Linked DNA regions of Saccharomyces cerevisiae S288C. The gene in region 3 interacts genetically with the main gene of each other region. Each region holds a gene or a part of one and is shown on either strand. Other genes may lie near its edges.

Region 1 (4,394 bases), on a different chromosome or scaffold from region 3:
TACAGGCGAATTGTGGTCCCCATAAAAACAAGCATTTTTCAAATATTTCAATATCATTTTTGATAGATGGCTTTATCTTATGAGAAAAATTGGTAACAGATTATTCATGTGAATGAAACTCTATGGATTATTTCCTTGCTTTTGTCTATCTACCTCCTTTTCCTAGAGCAGGTTATTGAGAAGATATCAATGGTTTGATATCACCTCGCAAAGAAAGGCCTGTTTCTTCGTGCTTCCATCTGTGCGGTCGGATTTTTTTATCAGAATTATCTTACTTGATTTTATTCCAGGGGTATGAGAATCAAATACCGTCATCTAGTTTGGTCTTTTTTTCACAATTGTGATTTATGATTACTTAATCAGCGTAATTGAAAAAAAAAAACCGGTAAATAGCAGATATATTCAATAAATGTCACTAAATATGATATATATGTATTATTTGATAAAAAATCGGCCAGAGCACTTTAGTGCCATAAAAAGAATTAATAAGTAGCCCTTTTTCAAATTATGTGTGCATCCAGCCATGGATGCTGCAGCAATTCAAGGGCACTAGGCCTGTATTGATAATCCAACTCAAATGCCTTTCTTAAGAAATTCTTTCCTTCTGACGTAGCCCAGGAAGGTATCTCGGGGGTCGTGTTTGTGCCTATTTTGAAGATCGCTTGCATTTGAGAAAAATCTGGGAAAGGATGCTTACCGGTAAACATTTCAATGACAACACATCCTGTAGACCATATATCCGCTTTAGCAGTAGTAGCGGTCTGTTTGACCACCTCTGGTGACATCCAGAATACGGAACCTTGCAAAGAAGCTCTCTTATTTTGTTTTTTATTCAAAGGTGATAATTTTTTTGAAATACCAAAATCAGTAATTTTTACGCAACCTTTGATATCAATCAAAATATTTGCACCCTTGATATCTCTGTGAATAATGTTCTTCTTATGCAAATACGCAACCCCAATCAGTATTTGCCTAGTGAAATTAGTAATCAGTGATTCCTCAAATGGACCGTAATTATTCAGCATGGAGGAAACCGAACCCCCAGGAACGTATTCAAGAAAAATATTTAAATTTCCGCCTTCTTGAGAAGCACCATAATAAGTAACAATGTTCTCATGATGTAACTCCTTCAATAAATTCATTTCATGCTGTAAAGCATCAACCATCTTTCTGTGAATATTTTGATTGGTTTTTGGATGACTTACCGCCCCAACATCTTCTATTTTCTCTTGTTGTTCCTCCTGCTCATTATTCTCATCAGAATTGGCTTGTTTATTGTTGTCTGTGGGAACACCAATGTTATTATTTTTTATCTCCACTTGCTTTACTGCCATTAGTTCACCAGTGTGAGCATTCATGCCCAAGTAAACACTCCCAAAACTGCCTGATCCAATGCAAGCACCTTTTAACCAATTCTTGGGCGTGGCAATTTTCGTCGGTAATGAAACAATGTCACTGTCCTCCCCAAAGAAATCGTGATCTTCTTCTTCACCAGACTCTACACTTAATAGTTCTAACTGGTTAGATATGGCATCATTATCTTCTGGCCTTTTATGGGCAAGCTTCGGAATTTTAGTTGTGTCAAGTTTACTGCTTAATCTTGTCTGATCTAATCCTTGTAATAGGGCCATATCAACAGCGTTTGAGTGTTTCAATAGTATGTCACCGATATTATTTGATTCTGCACTTAAAGGTCTTCTTTGAGCAATGCTTAGCCTTGCTGAATGGCGAAATGACTCTCTCATCGTCTTTTGCAACCGCTTCATGTCTGTATGAGGAAAATATCCGGCCAAATTGGTAGAAATAAATTCGCTAGGAGGCCTCTGATTAAAAATCTGTCTAATTCTGTCCTTTTCTGTGTTGTCGATCCGGAGTTTCCCTTCAGCATTGTTATGCGAAATCCCCTTGTTCTGTGCCAACAAATTTGACGAGGATGGCCCAACCTGGCTCAATGCACTCAACGTTCTTAGATATAGTTTTTTGGATGTGGATATAGCTTTATCACTTGGTGTTTGGTCTTTGGAAACAAAAATTAGCCTATTTTTCTCAACACGATCATTTGCGTGGCAAATAGTGACTAATTCCACGTCATATAGCAAATGCAGTACGTTCTTGGTATAATCTAAGACAAACACATCATAATCTTGGACCATTTTAGTTACTTCTCCATTGGAGTTTGTGGCTAATAATTCATGTGGCAATCTTCTGATTAGCCTTTTCTTAATAGAATCTGCATTAAAGCAACCATTTACATTAACTTTCTTAGCGGAACCATCGTTTAAGATAAATATAACACAGTGCTTTTCAGGAATCAATTCTGAATTCATCGATAGCGTAGCAGTGGATAGAGAGCTTACTTTTTCCATCAGGTTTTTCAATCTATTCACCTGTTCAATCCGTTTATCTCTCTGGAACGATTTTGACTTCCTTAAAATTTTGAGTCTGTCTCCTATTTTGTTTACACCCAAAGCAATGAGGATATCCTTGTCGAGATACTTAATTTCTTCTTCTGTGACAAGGTTGCACTGAATAAAGCTATCCAGGTATTGAGTGCATCCTATTTCCTCCAGAAATAACTGCACAAAAGGTAAATCGTTGGTCTTTTCGTCACCAATTAGTAAGTCAGTGCCCTCTGCTGTTTGTGTCTGTTCCATGTATATTTCGTCTACCGGTGATCTTATCATACTAGCTTTATTAAGTGGTCTCTCTTTATGCATGTGTGTAAATATGAATATTTTCTACTGTTTAAAGCCATCGCGGCGAAAGCTTTACACCTTAAAAGGCTTTTAATGCTAGCCTGATAACGAAAGGCATGGTGAGGACAGCATAAAGAAACTATAATGGCAGTTAGTAATAATAATAATAATAATAATAGTAAAGAACGCACCCAAAATATAAAAGAAGTGGAGGAAAAGTTGGGCGAGAATCCAAAGATTACTTTAAAAGGGGGAGGGAAAACTAAAATCATGGATTTTGAACAGTTACGCAAGCCCCATTGCGTAAGACCCAGTGCAAGATTTCCAGTTGAAGATACTGCCGGTGGTTTATTGAGAACGGGTGGCCACAGGCCTCAGATAAGTGATGAAGAAGTCTCTAAAAGGCACCATGAACAGTCTCATGGACAAGAAGATCATTAATAGTATTGTATATAGGACTTGCTCAGTTATATTTCATTTCTATTTCATAAGCTAGAAGGCTAACTTGTATAAAGCTGCGCAGAAAGTGTTTCCATTTTACGTATATTTAGATTTATATTTTGCCTTAGGTGCTTTTTGAATTTCAAATGGTTTAGTGTTGATCTTTTTCAAAAATTAATCTTTTTAGATCGCAGATACCTCTGATACAAGTTTTATACTTAAGTATCGAAGACCAGCACCGTGGTTAAAAATCTTAACATGATCCGGTTACCGAGGCTGTATCAAAGGTACCTATTATACTTGGTAGTTTTTGTAGTGATTGCCCTATTTTACTTCCTACAGGCGCCAAGAGTTGAAGAGCACATTGGTTTCGACCTTGCACTCCCGATATCACACGTTGATAATCTATGGTTCCAAAATAAAGGTCTAGAGGGATTCTCAAATGACGATAAGCTAGTTGTAAATATAGGCTATGACGAATGTTTTCATATTGGTCGTTTTTATGAAGGATGTTTTAATCGGCATGAACTTAAATCAACTTTAACTGATGGGCACCAATACTTACAAAGGAAAAGAATTCATAAAGACTTGAGAGGTTCCTTTGGACGCAGGTGGTTTGGAAAGTCAGAATACCTTTACTATGATGTGTTATACCCTGCTTTGGTGGACTACTTTGGATCCAACCTAGAAAAGCTAAATGTTGAGGCAGTAACTGGAATTTCCAAATATCCTAAAGACAAATCGCTACCCTTTATGGATGTATCCATCACATTCGAGCCTATTAGCATAGAACTATTGCAGAAAAGGAGCTACATAAGCGATATTAACATTCTCTTTGGTGTTGATTGCATCCAGCCGATAGCAAATTGGACTCTTCAAAAAGAATTTCCCTTAGTAAAATACCGCTACAGCGAACCTGCTTATTTGACTTACAAATTCGTTGGTACTCGTCCTGTAGACACAGGAGCTCAACGGCTGCAAGAAACTGATGAAGGAAAGTTCAAAATTGTTCAGTTGGCGGATCTCCACTTGGGTGTGGGGGAGTCTGAATGTATCGATGAGTATCCAAAGCATGAAGCTTGCAAGGCAGATCCAAAAACGGAAACTTTCGTTCAACAAGTTCTTGACATTGAAAAACCGCAGTTGGTTGTTTTTACTGGTGACCAAATCATGGGTGATAGATCTATTCAAGACTCTGAAACCGTATTATTAAAGGCGGTAGCACCCGTCATTGCAAGAAAAATTCCGTGGGCAATG
Region 2 (3,347 bases), on a different chromosome or scaffold from region 3:
CACAAGACAAAAGAAGGGGTAGAACACATCTAACGTCTATATATACACAGCAACTTGATTACACATTTGCTCCAGCAAGCGCTTACCGTCCACAATACAGTGGTCATCCATACAATCACTACTTTGGTAGTTTGACGCTCCGATGGGATTGGCTGTTGCGGATGTGGTTGAGGGCGTTGTCCTCGAGGCCAATCAGCAGCGCGCATTGCCCGCCTTTGGCCCGGCGGGCCGCGCGTCGCAGGGGATGATGCTAGTCACCTATATGGATCACCCCTTGTGGTTCTTCATTTTTTTTTTCTTCAATTAACAGCCGCCGACGGCCCGTGGCGCGCGATCACGGAGTTGCGTAACTGCTCCCCTTAGCTCCATATAAGTATTGTCCTTTTATACGTCCGCGTCCTCAGCGGCTAATACGTATGTCATATGTACATATGTATATGTGTACGTATATGTATATGTATACATTGTTCTTCGGGTTGATATTTTAATGATAATGATGGCTAACTAAATATTTCGTTCCAAATGAGTTTCTTGAGGTCTTTCGTCGTTAGTGCCTCCTTGTAGTGATCAAACTCGAAGAAGCTGGGTGGGATGGGTTCGCCTTCAGGTTCGTCGTTTGGATCGTGGTATGTTTGCAAATACGGATGCTCCAGTGCCTCCTTAGCAGTAATCCTCTTCGCAGGGTCAAAAACAAGCATACGCTGTAAAAGATCTATGCCTTTCGGGTTGACTCGAGGGAACATCTTCTCCAGTGGCGCGGCAGGGTACATGGGAAGCGACTTTATGTACTCTCTAGCCCTGGGTGACTCTATACACCGCAAATCATTATCTGAGTGAGGTGTACCGATGATACCGAATATCAGTAGTAGTTGATGGCGATAATCTCTGCCAGGGAAGATTGGCCGTCTTAAGAAAAGTTCAGCGAGAATACATCCGCAGGACCACACGTCCATGGCCCTTGAGTATTTGGCAGAGGTTAACATCACCTCTGGCGCCCTGTACCAACGTGTGGCCACATACTCGGTCATGCCGCTTTGCTGACCTGTGGGCTCTGAATTGTCCGCGGCTGACTCGTCAATGATTCTTGCTAAACCGAAATCACATACTTTCAAGTCACAGTTGGAGTTTATGAGAAGGTTGGAGGGCTTTAAATCACGATGGATGACGTTCGAACCATGCAGCACTTTCACTGCTCTCAAGGTTTGGTATATAAAATATTGTATATGATCGTCACTCAGCATCTGGGTGGAGATTACACGGTGTAAATCTGTCTGCATTAGCTCTTGAATTATGTAGACCTCATTGAAGTTTTCGAACGAGTCAGGGCGTTGAATGTTGAAGATTGTTATGATATTTTCGTGCTTGAAGTGCTTCAGGATCTTTATTTCACGCAGCGTACGTAATGCGAACAAAGGCTTATCGAATGGTTCGATCTTTTTTATTGCCACGATTTCTCCCGTGGGCTTATGCGTTGCAGAACATACCACACCGTATGCACCCTCTCCCAGTAACGACTTCAACTGGAAGTCACTGGATATATTGTATACAATTCTCTTTGGCATATTATTTTCCTTTCTTTTTCTCTGCCTTATTTCCTTGTAGTTCAAACGAACTAGCTATTAGAAGAAAGAAAATGATTACAACGTATATATAGTTTCTGAGAGGCAAGAGTAAAAAGTTATGATATATTAGTATGTTGCTTTTCTGCAATTGTTTCAATGCCCTGTAAAAAACCGCATCATCTAAAATCTGAGAGAATGCAGAAACAAAAAAAAAAAAAGTAAAAATTTCGAGTAAAAGAATTTTGAGTTCCAGGGTGAAACAGATCTAAAACTCAAGAGCTTATGCATTGCTTGTAGGTACATCACATTTTACTTCAGAAAGATAAAAGAGTATGTGAAAGTAAACTGCCCTCTCCAGTTAACTCTTCCCAAACTAAAAAGTATCCGCCTGTGCGGACTACAAGCACTACCGCCCCTTGAATGAACACCAAAAGATGTGTGTAAGTTAAAAAGTCCGAACGAATTTATCCTTATGTATGTTCTTTTGAACGTCAAGTAGTCAATCTCTCCAACTACTCGGGTCTTTATATGGATCGCGTGATGTTTTAAGCCTTCTTTCCTCTAGTTTAGTGCAGTCGCTGCTTTTTTCTCGGGCTGAGTACGGCGAAAAGAAGGAAAAACCAAGGTCAAAAAATAACCTCTAAATAACAGCATGATGCAACAGCTCAAAAGACCTCTCAAGAAGCACAAAAAAAGGAGGCGAGTAGGTGGTACTATTTCATTCTACTAAGATCTTTAAAGCAATTCCTTTCCGGTTTTTTTCTCAACTACCGTACTCTTTTTCCTTTTTTATTTTGCCCTTAGATTGTATTATAAAGCTCTGTATATCTGGAAAAGCCCTGAAGTGTCCAGTAGTCATCACACGTTATGATATTACTTCATTTTGTCTATTCTCTTTGGGCCTTACTTCTCATTCCTTTAACTAATGCCGAAGAATTCACCCCCAAAGTGACAAAGACTATCGCGCAAGATTCATTTGATATATTAAGCTTTGATGATTCCAACACTTTAATTAGAAAACAAGACACCTCCGTTACTATAAGCTTTGACGATGGTGAAACATGGGAAAAAGTTGAAGGCATTGAAGGCGAAATCACTTGGATATACATCGACCCCTTCAATAGACATGACAGAGCCGTTGCAACGGCAATGAATGGGTCGTACCTTTATATAACCAATGATCAAGGTAAGTCATGGGAGCGTATAACGCTACCTGACTCCGGAGAAAGTATTTCACCTCGTGAATGCTATATAGAAACCCATCCCTTGAATAAGAACTATTTTCTTGCAAAGTGCAACTATTGTGAGAAAACAGAAGTAAACAATGACAATGAAGAGAATTCGGGGGACGAAGAGGGACAATTTGAAATATTTAATATTACACGTTGCACAGACAAGGTTTTTGCAAGTAATGATGGTGGAAAATCCTTTTCTGAGATCAAGTCTTCTCTAGAAAGGAACGAAAATAGTCCTATCAGCATTTCTGATTGTGGCTTTGCCAAGACCAGCAAAGATTCTGACCTTGAAAGTAGTGATACCTCAATAATCTGTCTTTTTCAAAATATGCAGCTTATTATGGATGAGTTTAGTTCTCCTTACACCGAAAGTAAATTGGTCCTAACTACGGACTGGGGCAAATCACTAAAAGAATTTGACCAATTTAAAGATAAGGTCGTCAATGGTTACAGGATATTGAAATCTCACATGGTTGTCTTAACCCAGGGCGACAGATATAATGATATGTCTTCCATGGATGTGTGGGTATCAAATGATCTGTCAAACTTT
Region 3 (4,141 bases):
ACCTTTTTCTTTTTTGATTACAACTTTTAACTATTATGAACATCGATGCCTTCACCTTATAATTAGGAATCTCGCTTTTTCTGGTGGAAAAATTTTCCGATGGCCTTTGCCATTCTGAAAAATAAAAGGCAATACTACGTTGGTATCAAAATAGTGGATAAACACATATTGTAATACTAAGCGATCATGTAGTTTTGGAGGTCATGTTAAGAAACTCATTGATATTTATATTACATACTGTGACGCTAGATAAATCACATATATAAAGGTATTATATTATATTATCTTTTTCTTTTTTTTTTTTTGTTATTTTCTAACGTTAATAGATTTGTTACATTTATTACCTTTTTTTCTTGCTTTTTGTTTGCTCTAGTCTTGTATAAGATTGTTTTATTTATAAAAACAGATTGTCCTTGTTGTTTTCTTCTGAGTATTGTTTAATATTAAATTCTGGCCCGCATTTTTAATTCTTGTATCATAAATTCAAAAATTATATTATATCAGGTTGCATCTGGAAGGTTTTTATCGGACCTTCGATTGGTATCTACCTCAAGTGAATGAGCTCCACCTTCTTCTGACTGGACCACCAAAGTATTGGAATCCGGAGTAGGCATCGAAATTTCTTTGTTCTTATCAGGATGAGCAGAATCTTCGTCACCAGCACTTGGCCTGGCTTTCGTTTCCAAGTTGATTTTGTATTGCTTCTGATAAGCACTTGTCTTAATATGTAGAGGCTTTGAAATTTTTGCAGACTTGCCCACAGATTGTTTATTACCTGTTGGAACATTTCCTTGTGAAGACTTCATTCCCACAGTTCTTCGCCGTGGGTATTGATTTATATTTTGAGAATAAAATGTGCTAGGAGGATAGTTTTTAGCAGTTGTAGATGGTGCTCTCGAACTATAAGGTGAAACAGCAGTGTTCCACTGCATGGAATTTGAACTTTGCATGTATGGGAACATCGCGGAACCTGGTGTCGATCTATAATTCGGTGTGTATGGTCTCCCAACATAGGTTGGAGCTGGTTGCATAGCTTGAGGGGGCAAAACATTCCATGAAGTTGCAGTTTGTGGATACAGCATATTGTTATCACATCCTTCTGGTGGAAAGAAAAAATCGTCCGCGCCATAAAAGGCTTGATCGAGTAGAGGATCCCCCCCCATGGGATTATACGGCATTTTTGGGTAGTATCCTGGAACCATTCCGTTTGGGTAAGATTGCTGGAAGTTGTTAGAATATAATTGGTGTTGTTTAGTTTGCTGGCCAGAGTTGTGAGATTTTGCATTTGTACAGTTTTCATTTGGCCGAGATTCATCAAAATCCATAACTGGTTCGTCATACTTCATGTAGCTGGTAGGGTCGCTAGGAGATACCAATTTTTCCTTGTTATTGTTAGATGAATAAAAATCCCGATTTGTCATAAAATGTTGCCTCGATGATGATGGTGGCACTGGGAAAGTGGGTGCCACTGATAACTGATAGGGGTATCTATTAAGAAGAGAATTAACGGGCATAGAATCCCTTTCATTCACGTTATCATAGGAAATAGGCATGGAAGGGGCAGCTGGCGTAAAAGCCTGTGGAGGGAACGGATCAAACGCATTTTCCTCCGTAGGGTATTCAACAGATACAGGAAAATAGTCGAGAGGAAAATCTTCTTCGTCTCTGCCCTTAGCGGTATTCTTGGGTAAGTCATGAGGCGTTTCTTCTGTGAGACCATTCAATTCGAGAGTATTGGGTTCTATAATCAATTTCTGAGGAATAAAATCATTAATTTGAGAGGGGGATTCTGGCGCATCGTCATCCATGAGGCCAACGCCTAAAAGCGGCTGATTAGTTACTGTTACCAACTCATTATCCTTAAAATTCTCGCTTTCTAATTTTGGAGGCGAATTATCTGATTTTGTTGTACTAGATGGTCTTCTAGAATCTAAATGTTGAAGTAACTGATCGTAGAGAGGCTTATCAGATGAGGAATCATATGAAAAAGATAAGGCGGGCTCATTAACGGGCTTAGTCGTTGAAGGCTGATTCAAACTTTCTCTTTTTAAATCTCTTTCCAACGCATCCGCAAACAACTTATCATGTGCTACACTGAACCAAAAAAATACTTTCTGCTTTTTTTGGGTTTTCAGACACATATTTCTGAATAGAAACGACAAAAATTCGGACTTTGGTTGTTCTAAAGTTGCATCTATACCACATTTGAGATTTCTTAAATCTGAAAAAATACCCTCTTCAAATTTTTTCTTTTGAACTACTTCTCTCCCAAACTTTTGCATTCTGTAAAGACAACATTTGACAATATCAGTACCTGTAATATAGTATAGATTGTTCCAAAATACACAAGAGACAAAGCCTTGTCCACTATTCAGATAGTATCGCCTTATAATTTGGTTTTCTTGCCAATTTACCGGCGCTGTGGCTAAAAAGAATTTTAGATCGCCGATTAACCTTAGCGATTCTTCAACTTCGCCCGGAGTAGCTTTACTGACTTCATCGTTTTCATTATTAGCTTGAACTTTTAAGATTTCCTCTGTTCTACTATTGGTTATTTGGACTTTCATCCTTGGTGAACAAGACAATTCAAATAAAGAAAGCGGTTCCGCTATAAAAGTGTGTTTTCTTCGACGAGTCTTGTTTGAGAAATATCAATATCCACTCTAGGTCTCGCTTGGGACACTTATAAAACAAGTCTTCAGTGCTTACCTGTTATCTTTTCCTATTTTATGAATGGCACGAACGTCTCAAAAAAGTCAACTAAAAAGAAGTAATCTAATTGTAAAAGGAACGTAGTGGTACTATGTGCGAGAAAACTAGCGTACGAGTACTTCGATTTATGGTGTCGAGACCTGACCGCGAAGAGTTGTTCAATCTTTTTTAGGCTGTTTTGTATTAGTTTTGATATATCTTAAGATGTTGCAAATTCGTTTCTTTTAAAACAATTTTTATCTGTTTCACTTTTTCTATTGAGACGAAAACGGACAACGGCGTTTGTTTCATTTTGAAACGAGCTCTCCGAAAAGAAATGCTGTGTTTCAAATTATGCAACACTCTAGAGTTCATATATTTATACACACGAAAACTTCATCTATATCGTTTACATACTACAGCTTGAAAGTGATTACTGAACGAAGTTCTTCAGGGTGTCTTGTGCAAACTGGACCAATTCTTTACATTCGTTTTCAACAAATGTCTTTAGCTTTATGGGTTCCTTAACGTTCGTTATACAAAGAATGTAACTTGCAATTTTCAGATGTAAGTAAGTGGGTTGCCCGTCGCTTTTCAACATATCTTTTAAACCTAAAAGAACTTGCTTGCTATTCTCGAACAAAACGTTCAAGACCTGCTCTTGATTAACGGAGTTGTGATGGTTGTGATAAACTCCTTGCATACTCTTGACGATTTCTCGATGGCGGAACTGGAACTTGTTCCGCTTTGTTAGGGATATCTTCAAACTCTTTGCGGACAACTTCTGTAATAAAGAGTTTTCTACGTCCAATGGAGTGACTATCGAACCACTTAACTTCTGGCAAGAGTACAATTCCATGAATTGCGCATCTGAGGCACAGAAAATTATTTGCGTGATCCAACAATCGTACAGCACGGTATCCAGCAACGTATAGTACATCAACTGCTCAGCATCATCAAGTATCCGAGACCTCATAATTTCGCTGATTGCCACGGTGGATCTTATAATTCTCTTCTTGTAACCCTCAACTAGAATAGGTAGGGCCTCATCGGGGTTAGAAAGACGGGACAGAACGAGCATTTCATGGTTACAGGTATGCGATGGGGTTTGTTCCTGCGAGTGCGTGGGTAAGACTAGACCATTCTTTTGACACAGCGCAAGCTGAACAAACAGACACCATGGATCTGTGGCCAATGCCGCCCCTGTATTTGCCTCCAAAAAAACGTTGTAAACACCTAGCTTGTACGTCCCCTCCACAGTCAACTCAGAGCTTCCACCACCGCGTTCTGTGAATGTGTAGGACCTCCGCTGTATTTCTAATGCAACGGCCTCGTCCTTGTCAGTCTGCGCAGCATATGTTTGTAACGGAAATGTGTCAAATATCCGTTTTACTGGCATGGGAACACTGAATGAACTTACCATTGTGCACGATGGCTTCGTTTTAGCCCT
Region 4 (4,629 bases), on a different chromosome or scaffold from region 3:
AAAGAAAAGCTGGAAGGGCTAGGCGGGATCTGGCCCGTGGAAATCGTATGGAATGCATAGGCGGCCCGGCCAGGCACCACGGAAAAAAGCTGATTGTCCTCTTTTACGAGCCGTGGATTTGCAGGAAGAAGCAACGCACGCATGGAAAACACGTGACCTGAAAGTCACCGGAACAAATTAGCCACATCGACGTTTCTTTTACTATACAGCTCGAACAAGCTAACTTGAAATGCTACAACCATGTTGGTATAATTGTGTACAGACACGTGCATTTTTGGTACGAAGAGGGTTACCCGGCTGCGAGTTTTTTTCATTATGAACTAATTCAGGGAAATAATCCCGTTCGGGAAATAGATAAACAACGCCAAACGAAAAAAAATATATAGTGCATATATGACGAGATTTAATTATCGCCAATAGGTTCTTTCTTAGGCAAAATTAAAGTTTACTCAATTTCTATTTATACATTAACTGCTATTTACGACGCATTATATATATTCAGTCATTGCGTAGTATAGACGTGGAGAAACGAAAAAAAAAAAAGGAAAAGCAAAAGCCTCGAAATACGGGCCTCGATTCCCGAACTACTAGAGGTTGGGAACTTCCAGGGTCTGATGAATTCTTTGCTGCTTTACCAGGTCAAAATATTCTATTTCTATCAAACTAGAATGCGGGTGTTCATCCATAATTAGACGCGTTTTTTGTTCACCCGCAGCCATATCCCCCAAATATACTTGCTCGAATGTAGCTTGTGGTAGACGAAGAGTTACATCTAGATAACGCTTAGTGTGCAGCTCCTCTAAAAACTGCTTAATGCTAGCGTTCAATGGAGTCATGCGGCGTTGCGAAATTTCGTATCTCCAATGGTAAGATAACTGGTCAAAGGCCTTTTTTAATTTCTGATCATGCTCAATGTCAACAACGTCACTCCCGTTGAGGACCAAGATTTGCTTGGCGTATCCAGTTGCAATATGGTCATCTGTATCCACGTATGCACTTGTTGACGCTAATCTTTCACAAGTTTGTAATGTTACCTTATACTGTTGCTTTTCATCGCGGAAGACGTTTGGATTAACCACTTCTAAATTATCCAAGAAAGTTGTCCATCCGTCCCAATTTTTATTTATCATTCCGATGAAGGTGCCAAATGGGCCTACTACACCGGATCCATCTCTTCCAACAACAACTATTCCCAGTAAATCGTCTGTGTTTAATCCATCCAATATTTGATGAACACTCTTTAGAACTCTCTTGCGATACAGTTCCCCATCAGCATGCGACAAATTCAAACATACAATAAGTTTTAGCGGCGTATCACTGTGCAATCTTTTCCACGGTAGACGAGAATCATGGGATTGTGCTGATATAACATCAGGCGGCGCTCCTAAAGCGCCTATTATATTCACATGAGAGAGTTCCTTCACTGTAGAAACAATCTCACTTAATGGTAGTGTCTCCAGTGAAGAATTTTCTAGACAATACTTCCATTTGGGAAGCAACCACTTTTCGCAGTTTTCGTTGAACCTCAAGTATATTTCAGGTATATTAGTGCTCTTCAAACTACAAAGTAGTACGTCCTCATTGAACTTGATTACCTGGTAAAACTGGTCTCTAGGAATCTTACCCAGGATCTTCATTTCTTCAAAATCAAACAAAACTAGAAATTTGGAGAATAATATTACAAGGTTATTGTCTACCCATTGTTCGCCATCATCAGAATACATTAGTTTGTCAAACAAGATCAAACTGCCAAATTCGCTATCCTTATCCACATTTGTTTCGATATATTGATCAATTTTCTTTTTCCATTCCTTTTCCCTTTCCTCTAGTTCTTCGTGGTCCACATGATTCACATCTTGCAAGACCCCTAAATCATCACTGGTCCGCATTTCTTGAAACTTCACACTGACCATAACATGTTCACCACCCGTTTTACTAAACCACACTTCAGCAGCACTTTCGTCTATTTCATCATCACAGTCCAGTTTTTCATCATCACTTAAATCAAAAGGGTCTGTAGTTGCCATTTTATTAACGAATGGTGAATTTAAAAATGGGCTATCAAGATAGCTAACGGCCTCAAATTGATTGCTATTCGATAAGCGTGGTGTCCTGAACCCATCACATGAAATATCAGCAGTACGAATGAGCTGCTCCTGTGGTGTAAACTGAGGAAATTCACCTGTGAAGCTTCTCGCCGTTTTCAAATCAATCCATTGCTGTTGCATATTGGATGACGGACCATCATCATGAGCGCCTGCGCCCGTTAGAAGTTTGGATACCATTTCAGGAACAATGTCTTTATCCTTTGGCTTGCTCACTTCGCCACATATCTTACACTCAGGAAACTTGCCTTGGAAATAAAGAGTTTCAAATAGCATCAAATAACAGTTATAGTGGCTAGTGTGTGAACACGTAGACTCCACAACCTTTTCACCGGTAAATGTGGAACTAATACTTTCCTCACAGATTAAACATTTCTCACCTATGTACCTTTTTGGACTGAATTGTGAATTGCATTTTTTTATGTTTCTTTCCAGGCTGATCATGAAAGTTGGTGAATCTTCTTCGTAATATGAATCGCCGTCAATGCGATAATCTTCATCCATAACCGTTAAATTGATGTCTGACAAAGTATCACACATAGTTGTAGAATCAGAAATCGACTCTCGGAGTAAACTAGTAGTTAAATTTGTAGCTTTGATGTTGTATTTGTTGCTACTTGTGATATTTACTGGCGATTGTAAAGCGCTAAGTTGTCCTGTTTTCGAAAAACCAGATGCTACTGATCCCGCTGTTTTCTTCAAACTTGGTGGGGGAGATATAGGCTTGGAAAGATTCAGTGGTTTAGGAATATTGCCTCTTTTGGACATCATTAGGCCAAGATTTGGAGTAAATTGACTCTCTTCAATATACCCAAATGTGGGCATCTGTTGCTTCTTAAATTCTGGTGTCTTTCTAAAAACTTTACCCGATAAACCTCTTAGAAATTTCTTCGGTGGTGATCTTTCAGCGTCACGATCTCCACTTGGTGGAGTGTGTATTTTTTTTTCAAACGAAACTCTTGTTGGTGTCTTCATTAATAGATTGCCTTCTTACGCCCACGAAGCTTTCCAGTGGATCTATAGACTTTGTGTAAAGGATGGTCAAGAAATATAAAAGTAAATAGAAATTTTTTGAATAGATAAGATAATATACACTCTCAAGACAGAGTGAACAAAAAGGATAGTTTTATTTTCTTTTAATAATTTGAATATATTATATACTGTGAACCAAGGTACCTTCGCATTTGAAACCTTTACGATGTCATTTTATTGCCTATTTCCTTTTTAGGTATTTTCGGTGAAATGGCTGCATGTTGAAAATTGCATCGCTGAAAAAAAAAGATATGCAAACAAAAGAAAGTTGCATTCTGAAACGACCGGGTCTCTCTTGCCCGCCTAACAAAACCAAAGAGGTAAATGAAAGTAAACAGATATTTTTCCTTACTTGGAAAAATAAAGCAACAATGAAGGTGAGTTTTATAGTCGCTCCTACAGTGATGCAAGTGCAATGTCTTTTTTTTTTCATCCTGTAATGGGTTAAATAACTTCAAAAAGGCAAATCATCCATCTAGTTGTGGATCAATGTCCCATTGAATTTTAGTTACAGCATGTAGTCTCTCCAGGATATCACCTATAGGTGTGAACAAACCAAACTGCCTCTGTTCACCATCGTATGAATGCAACATACCAACAAGCCCCAAACCTAGACGATCTTCTAACTTGGTCAAGATCCATGCGCCTGAATCCCCCGCACTAGCAAATAAAGGAGTTGGAGATGCAACGACAAACTCGCTACTTTGTAACTTTCCGTCGGCCCAATAAACTAATTTTGTAGAATTTAACTCGCCTGAAGTGTATCCCGTAGAAGCCCCTATTTTAAATACTTTCATCCCAGGCTTCATTTTAAAAATTTTTCGTTTCACATGTAAATTTTGAAATCTTAATGTTGGATCTGGGAATGATTTTAAGCCATTACCTAGGGTATTCTGACATTTGAATGATGAATTAACTTTGATAATAGCAAAATCTGATAATCTGTGATCTACGATTGCTCTCTCGCCCCAAACTACTTGACCAAATTTGTTTGATTTCTGCCAGTTCAAGTTTTGATCTATTCTTTGCACTTCCTCCAAAAATGCTGTTTTCTCCACCGAACCATCAGGATACCTATCTGATTCTTTCGTTAAAACTTTCTTGTAAGAAGTCTGTAAAACATTAGAAGGTACCATGACGTTTGGATAATCTTGCTTCTCAGATAATACAACGTGGGCGCAAGTAATGGCAAATGAGCAGCTTGCAAATTGAGAAAATTTTTTATCACTACCAGTCTGAGGGAATAGATAACCCCCTAAAGTACCTGTAATTTTAGCGCTTGTCTCAGTGGATAAAGACATAGAAATTGGCAATTCAAGTGGATTCTCTGAAACTGCATATGGGGGGGAAAACTGAAATTTAGTTGGGGCTATTGTATCGATAGTTGCTGCGGTATGAGACGGAATACTGCCTACTGCTGATGCAGCTTTTTTAATGTAATCTTTCACACAATACATGTGTACATCTGGGAACAACGAATAAAGAACCTTTA

Evidence for each region.
Region 1: of STE12 (region 3) and STE11, changing one suppresses a phenotype caused by changing the other (phenotypic suppression), as found in Saccharomyces cerevisiae (5 studies listed by BioGRID, with this or other methods).
Region 2: of STE12 (region 3) and FUS3, changing one suppresses a phenotype caused by changing the other (phenotypic suppression), as found in Saccharomyces cerevisiae (3 studies listed by BioGRID, with this or other methods).
Region 4: of STE12 (region 3) and FAR1, changing one suppresses a phenotype caused by changing the other (phenotypic suppression), as found in Saccharomyces cerevisiae (3 studies listed by BioGRID, with this or other methods).

What each region holds. Positions count from the first base shown.
Region 1 is NC_001144.5:848,126-852,519, reverse strand, and holds STE11 (mitogen-activated protein kinase kinase kinase STE11), read right to left. Parts: upstream 2,655-4,394; coding exon 501-2,654; downstream 1-500. Other genes in the region: NMD4 (Nmd4p), read left to right, coding at 1-25; YLR361C-A (uncharacterized protein), read left to right, coding at 2,841-3,137; DCR2 (phosphoprotein phosphatase), read left to right, coding at 3,396-4,394. UniProt on the Saccharomyces cerevisiae protein: Serine/threonine protein kinase required for cell-type-specific transcription and signal transduction in yeast. It is thought that it phosphorylates the STE7 protein kinase which itself, phosphorylates the FUS3 and or KSS1 kinases.
Region 2 is NC_001134.8:190,666-194,012, reverse strand, and holds FUS3 (mitogen-activated serine/threonine-protein kinase FUS3), read right to left. Parts: upstream 1,563-3,347; coding exon 501-1,562; downstream 1-500. Other genes in the region: PEP1 (type I sorting receptor), read left to right, coding at 2,430-3,347. UniProt on the Saccharomyces cerevisiae protein: Together with closely related KSS1, FUS3 is the final kinase in the signal transduction cascade regulating activation/repression of the mating and filamentation pathways, induced by pheromone and nitrogen/carbon limitation, respectively.
Region 3 is NC_001140.6:272,600-276,740, reverse strand, and holds STE12 (homeodomain family transcription factor STE12), read right to left. Parts: upstream 2,568-4,141; coding exon 501-2,567; downstream 1-500. Other genes in the region: SAM complex subunit SAM35, read right to left, coding at 3,125-4,114. UniProt on the Saccharomyces cerevisiae protein: Binds to the DNA sequence mediating pheromone induction (called the pheromone response element = PRE) which is found in the upstream control region of several a-, alpha- and haploid-specific genes.
Region 4 is NC_001142.9:123,249-127,877, forward strand, and holds FAR1 (cyclin-dependent protein serine/threonine kinase inhibiting protein FAR1), read right to left. Parts: upstream 3,081-4,629; coding exon 588-3,080; downstream 1-587. Other genes in the region: SSY5 (Ssy5p), read right to left, coding at 3,605-4,629. UniProt on the Saccharomyces cerevisiae protein: Inhibitor of the cyclin-dependent kinase CDC28. Necessary for cell cycle arrest. Involved in pheromone response. Contributes to mating efficiency. Required for oriented polarization of yeast cells in response to mating pheromones.